2 linked regions of the Bombyx mori genome follow. The protein of the gene in region 1 interacts with the protein of each later gene in a pairwise test. Links are inferred from orthologs where the notes say so. Each region holds a gene or a part of one and is shown on either strand. Other genes may lie near its edges.

Region 1 (4,399 bases):
TTTTTCAATGAAAAAACTTATCATCATACTTATTTATTTATTTTATTTATTTATACTTATTGTACACAAAAAGAAAATACAATAAAAACAGATTTAAAGAATGTCTAAATACTATGCACAAAGGCGAGCTTAACTCATTCATGAGTTTTCTTCCAGCAAACCATTAGCAGAGAGAAATACAATGTATAAAGAGGGGAATAGTGTACAATACAAAATCTATTAAAGCATGATTTTTAAACTAAGCTTTAAAAAAAAACTAATATGAAATGAAAAATACATATAAACATACATAAAACAATAACTTAAATACACTTTTTTAAAGTGACAGGAAATGTTTCTTCATTTGACTCTTAGAAACTTCTAGAGAGGAACTAGCACAAATAGGTTGAGGGAGAGAATTCCATAATCGCACTGCTTGTATTGTGAAATTGCATTATCATCATACTTGTTTAAGTGGTGGGCAAAATCTTGGGCATCTCTGGTGGGCATCTTTCATCTTTGTCAAAGTAAAGTCATACCTACCTTATATGAACTAATAACTTAGGATATGTGTACAATGGTCAGAATAATCCCACCTGTCTTTTCTGTAGATATTCACCAATGACTGGGGTCTAGAACTGTGAGTAGCTGAGTGTATCCTGAGTCACTGACGTGTATAAGTATTTTTGTTATGAAGAAAACAGGCATGCCAGTTTGAATTATAAGATGCCTGCCTGCCATACAACTGAGACTTCGGGCATGTGTTTTGGGTCAGGTGAAATAAGATAAGCATGTGTGTCTAAATTTTATTGAAGACAAATTGTTTTTCACTACAGTGACCCGCATCTTTTTTCAACCTCTAGAAGTTAAAAATGGACTACATAATATGAATGAAATGTTTATTAAAATCTGTCAACTGTTTAGGTAATTATGATAATTTTCTATTGTAACTTTTACTAACCTGTAGATCTCATTGACTCTCCTTCCCAGTCTTCGCGGCCTTTGGATATAATTTCCCAAACGTGACTGACAACTTTAGTGAATTGAGCAATGTGTTTCTGGAATATAAAACTATTATAATCCATACATCATCCATCTATATAATTGTAGGTAACAACTACACAACATTACATGAGAAAGTGAGCTTGTTATAATTGCATGTCTTAAGTACTCAACTTGATTATCATGCTAATTTTGCAGACAAATCTTGATTATATAAAAGAACTTATTATACATAGTTTAATAGAATTCAATGATGATATGATTGCAATGATACTGAATGATGACCATGACCACCCTGACAAGTGATACAACAAAAAAAAGAAAGAATTGATACATACTTCAACCAAATATCTCAAAGCAAGAGGTTGATTTAACTCTGTGATATCTATGGGTCCCAGCCACTATATCTCAAGTGAGCTGTGGGTTTATTCACTCAACAGTGCATTACATGTTTTAACCCCAAATATATCTATTTTTTTACCGTTTACAATGAAAACTAATTTAGATTGCGAAGTCTACAAAGAATGTCATAAAAAATTAGCCCAAATAGTTATAATGGATATTTTTCCTTGTGGTACATTAAACCTTATGCTTCTTTAAATGTTTCTGATATTTAAAATTAAATGTTAATTATTGTCTATACCTGTGCTGTATCATAGCTTAAAGTACTAGCTTTATGATTAAATTGCTGGAGACGCTGTTCAGCCTGGGGTTCAGGTTTGGTACGAAGTAAATCTGGAACTAAATCATGAGTGCAAGCTGGAACTCTGCCTTCTGTCAAATGAGCCAGTGTTTCATCACGTTCGCAACTTAATTGAAGTGGTAAAACAATTCTAGACCGCAATGAAGCTGCTTGTTCGGCTTGGAGAATTTTACTGAGGCCAGTCAGCTGAAAATAAAGAGTTAATAAAATTTAACTAAATAACACATGATCTTTAAAGTGAAAAGCTTATGTACAAATGCACTTAAATCTGAAAACAAGTCTCAAAATGGGATAATACCTAATAAATATCAGTGACCACGCTAACCAGGTTACATCAAGTGAGTTTTGAACTCGTCAGTTTTTGTTTCACTGTTTTTTCAATAATAAATTAATTATCTTTCCTACTTCAAGTTGAAATCCATCTCTGTAGACTTGTTGACTATTACACACACTATTTATGCTATGAATTTCAATATACAATTGGACTTACGTGACCAGATAAAATCGCGTAATTATCTAGAAAAGTTGGCCAATTTATTGTCTCGTATTCCGTTTCTAGTTTATTTATCAATGCTTGTATTGCAGTTTTTAAATCATTTACTCTATTTAAAATCGCAACTATTGTAGCTTCTAGTTGCTTTTCTTCTCGCTGCTGCATATTCATTGTTGTAAATGGTAGGTACACAATTGTAACTTTTTAATTCTCTTTGTTAGATTTTAATAAGGTTTAGGTACCGTACCTTACCTAGCTATTAAATAACCGTAAGGGACTAAGGGTACATAAGTAATATATCTCAAAATGGTACCATACGGTACCTACCGTACCGTAAAATGGGGCGATTAGGGACAAATTCCAACTTTATGAGCAATTTTAAGGTAGTTGTTGATGTATATAATGCTAAATCAGGATCAAAATGATTGAGTCTTGGGGGCATCTTTGTTGTCTAATTTAAAATTATGCAACTAGCATTCCAGTTTAAGCAAAAAATGCAAAAATAGGTGTAATCCCTATTTACCCGAAAATTGCGGTTAATTGGGACGAAACGAGAAATTTGCTAGGGTTGGCACTACTTTTATTTTTATATATAGTTTTAATTTATTTATTTATTTAGTTGCACCAACAAAGTGATCATCAATAAAAAAAATTGAAAAACTGACAAAAGTACATGGCAGACATCACCTCAATTATAGGTGCAATCGACAGTGCTGATATTTCTATCTGGATTAAGAGATTAGGTGTGTCGGTTATTCCATGGATTAATCAGATGAATACCCCCACTCTGAACAAATATTAAATATGTAGCAAACCGACCGGTACGTCACTCTCGCGGCCGTATGCCCGCTCGCTATACATAGTTAGTATCTATGTCAATCTTGTAACAGTGTATAATCTATGTTCCGGGCGCTTCCGTTTTGAGTGTGAATAGCGTGCGCCCGCGTCTAAATGTAATTATTGTTTAAAAATTGAAAATTGTTTGTTATAAAGGAAGATTAAAATTCGAAATTCGATATTGGTGACTAACCCATAGTTTTAAATACCCCTGAGATCTACCCCTCACTATATCTGGCTGCCCAACGTTTCCTAATTTTTTTCTTGCTTGGACTAACAAAATGGCGCGCACGCTTTTGTGAAAAATTTGCTAACTATTGTATGCTGTTGGTGCTTAATTGTAAAGAATGCCTTTAACTAGAAGTCAAGATCGCCAGCAACGTCGCGAAGACGACGTTATTCCTGCTGCAGATGCAAATGCCAACGAAAATCACGAGGAGCATGATAGCCCCCATGATCGCCCCCACGCCGAATCACGTAGCAACAATTCTACGTTCAACTTGGATGATGTTTCAGCGTTGATGGCCTCGCTGCAACGTTCGCAGGCCGAAACATTTAAGAACATTATGTCGTACGTGATGGAACAAAGATCGTCGACTCCGGCACCTCCGCCGATGCCCCCAGTGAACGTAGATGGTACCTTGGCGCGTTGCAGAGCTTCTTTCAGCGGTGCACCTGGTGAATCTGTTGAGGCCTTTATAGATGCAATTGAAAGTTATACAGAATGCGTTCAAGTATCTGACGCTAACATCATACGAGGCCTAGCCATGCTTTTGTCTGCTGACGCAGCTACGTGGTGGCTAGGATTAAAGCATCACATCTCCACTTGGAACGAAGCCAAAGAAAATTTAATATATGCATATGGCACCCGCCTTCCACCACATAGAATATATTTGGAAATATTTGTTTCCCCGCAGGATAAAGAAAACACAGACAAGTTTGTTGCTCGTATTCGTGCGCTTATGGCAAAGCTACCGCGGGATGATATTGCTGAAAAAGTACAACTTGATATGATATACGGGTTGCTTCATAATAGAATACGCACAAGATTGCGCCGTGAAGAAATCACATCTTTCAATTCATTATTAAACCATGCTCGGAATATAGAAGATTCGATAGAGGAGACTCAATCGAGACCAGTGTCGTCCACTAGTGGTGTGCGTTCGATCCGTGCCCAGCCGGCCCAGGCTGCGAGTCGGCCTGAACCGTGCGCCGCTCGTGCGAGTGCCCCGGCGCCGCGCGCGCGCTTTCCAAACTCCGCCGCGGCCGTCGTGCCCGCCACCGCTGTGCCTGTCGCTGTCGCCCAGCCTACCGTTGCCACGCCTGCCGCTGCTGTGCCAGGTTCTGCAGAGCAATTCGTGACCACGAAGAAACAGCGTCCAGTG
Region 2 (3,047 bases), on another chromosome or scaffold:
TTTAATGAAAAGTATTTTATTTTATTATTTATTTTCACTATATATATTTTACTGCTTGATTTCATTCAGATTTAATTGTAATAAATAATGGCTTGTGTGTTTTAATGACGTTTATATTTAAATTACCCTAGTATTTCCAAACTTTTGAGTGGTAGTGTATATAATGCAAACGCACTGTAATTATACTCAGAGTTTAGAGTAACAGCTTTCTTTTCATGTACTAATTTTAGTTATATTTTGTAGATTATAGCAGTCATGTGATTGGCTTCAAATCTATAATTCTTATCATTTATAATTTAATTTAAAAGCCATTACAGCCATAAAAGATGTAATTATACTATTACAGGTCGAAGTCTCAATTACTTACAATAGTGTCCTAGCTTTTAAACTAGTATGAAGTTATCAGTATTAACGTCCTTGAGGATACAACTAAGAAGTACCATCTTGTTTAAGGTACAAGTTGAAAAAGTGTCCGCCTGTATACAGCAGGTTATTGTTTGAAGCTCACTAAAATAGTATTAGTACAGGTAGTGGTAATTGAATTAATATAGCAGCTTTAAATAGAGTAAAGTGTGCAGTAAAGGCTATATTCCAATATACACTGCGAGGACTGTTCAGTCCTCTTACTGGGGCGAAATTCGTTCCGTTGACTGACAGTATACAATCACCGTATCATAGGGAAATATATAATGTCAGAAATTGTCACCATTTTTCTACTGTGAACACTGGTATTTTCTAAGTAAGGTGCCCTCAGTGCTTTGTACATGTTATCACGTTTACAGTACATAACCTCATTTCAATAATTCAGTTAAGTTATTATATAAATTGAAAAACAATATTTTCTTTATTGAAAGGATACTTTTAGTATACAACATATGCGTAAGAAAGTTTTCCCCAAATATTTATCAAGAATCCTGAAGCAGCCTCATACTGATTTTACCTATTAAGCAACTTAAAATTTAGTATACAAGGATTACATAAAAATCTTTCACAGTAAATTATATTGTAGAAATTATAAAGTAATGGTACATTTCTTAAAATATTTAATATGAAACAAATTTACATGCACCATAGCACTTCTTTACATAAAAAATAAAACAATCCTATGTAATGTTACTGCAATAAAATTAATGCTTAAATAAAAAATTTGTTACTAATATTTTTAGTACAGGCTCTAAATTGTGAACTACTGCACTTCAGCTTCATTTAATAGCATATTAGGAATTCCTTTAGAAATCGGAAATTGTCTTCCAGATTCTGGACAAGTCAAGTGTCCCTCTTCAACTTCCACCTCTAACAAGACTTTATGAGCTTTCTTCAAAAACTCTTCGTTTTCATCATACTTATTTTCTAAAGATCTTGGCAGACCATCACTGTGGCCGATGCTATCAGCGGCCACCCATAATACTTCCCAATCCAGCTTTGGTATTACACGACTAATAAATTCAGGATTAAAATCGACTTCTTTAACTTTAATGTCTGTCGCGTTAATTGCAAGAGGATAGCCAGTCACAACACCTTTCAAGCATTTCGAAGTGAGCATATTGTGGGTAATTAGTTTCATTATTATATTTGTATTATGCAACTTCAGTAGGAATTGAAGTCTTGACAATAATAGCTTTTCACGAGTAGAACCAAGCGATTAAGATTATTGGCACTTTTTTGTAGAATTTTCTTAAAACATATTTGTTATTATGTACTTTACGTGCATAATTAGATATTTGAGGTTATGTTTAGTTTTTGTTCAGTTGTGTAGTGAGTAGTGACCTGACAGCAGTAAGTAGTGGTAGTTTTATTTTTCCAAATGGAAAGGCAAAGGTATCACACCATACAGCCTAGTCTGTTATAGATTTTTTTTTTTTTATGAAATATATTATGAAATGAAATGAAGCTGATTAATTTAATGGCATGGCATGAAATGAATTGAAATGAGATGAGATGATAATTATGATATGGGTATTTTTATGAAAAATGATGATATGGAGTGAAATGAAGAATTTGAGACATTAATCAACTGGGATGAAATCAAATGAAATGAGATGAGATGAAATATAATCTCAGTAAAATGTTGGTCGTTTACTGAGATTTTTTCAATGGACGTTTTGGATGATCCCGATAAGTTACGTCCAGCGGCTTTATTTTATTTTCCCACATTTGTGCACTTTCAAAGATACTAAACAGTTAATAAACCACCGTTATTATGCATTTCAATCTGAAGAAACACTAAATAGACAAAATAAAACAAATCACACAACTTCACTCCTCGCGTTCCCGCGAAAAAGTTGTAACTTGTTCACCTTTTCAGTCGTAGCTCGAGGTGATACTCGCGCAGAGTATAATAAGAAAGTAATAAAATAAATAATGGATTAATAGTAATTTGCCCGAGTCTCTTCAATGTAATCTATTAGTCTATTATTGTTACTACTTTTCGAAAACTGGTACAAAATTTTTGCGCCTCGAGGCGATAAGCCAGGTTCACCGAACGTGTAGGCTCAGCATGGAGAACTTACTAGCACTAGCTTTAGTTAGAGCGGTGCTTCTCTGAATCTACCACTGGACCAGAATCGAGATTCTCTGAAAAGAACTGGCGAGAAACTCAGTGGGCTCTGTCTGACGGTCAATTTACTAGCTTGACCTTTCTTTGCATTCGGAAGGGATAAGCATTTATATTAAATTGTTGAAAAAAAATATATTTACATTTTTTAAATTAGAATGGATATAAGGTCTTGTAGCCGTTGGCCGTACATAAATATTTAAAAATATTAAATTGAGTATAATTCTGTGTAAAATTATTGTAAATATTGAGGAGAAATGTAATCATTCACATTTATAGACAAAAGCAGCAGGCTTGTAATACTCCATACCTGCTTATAAGTATTTTACAGTTTTTATTTTTTTGCGCCATGTCAAGCCATAACTCATTAAGAATGGATGCAGCATGCAGTGAACCAACAACATCGGTGGTCTCCACGTCGTCAGTACCACAAAAAACATCAAGTGACAAAGCAATAAATGAAAACAAAGTCGATTCACCTAAACGAACACCC

Evidence for each region.
Region 2: the proteins of mediator of RNA polymerase II transcription subunit 8 (region 1) and multifunctional methyltransferase subunit TRM112-like protein interact in binary tests that used the Drosophila melanogaster proteins (3 or more experiments, as listed by UniProt). The link is inferred for Bombyx mori from reciprocal best matches to the Drosophila melanogaster genes MED8 and Trmt112.

The regions. Positions count from the first base shown.
Region 1 is NC_085118.1:10,646,008-10,650,406, forward strand, and holds the start of mediator of RNA polymerase II transcription subunit 8, read right to left. Parts: upstream 3,050-4,399; 5' UTR 2,349-3,049; coding exon 2,175-2,348; intron 1,871-2,174; coding exon 1,625-1,870; intron 1,038-1,624; coding exon 941-1,037; intron 1-940. Other genes in the region: uncharacterized protein LOC134199859, read left to right, coding at 3,362-4,399. UniProt on the Drosophila melanogaster protein: Component of the Mediator complex, a coactivator involved in the regulated transcription of nearly all RNA polymerase II-dependent genes.
Region 2 is NC_085117.1:12,729,130-12,732,176, forward strand, and holds multifunctional methyltransferase subunit TRM112-like protein, read right to left. Parts: upstream 1,751-3,047; 5' UTR 1,565-1,750; coding exon 1,187-1,564; 3' UTR 822-1,186; downstream 1-821. Other genes in the region: DIS3-like exonuclease 2, read left to right, coding at 2,904-3,047.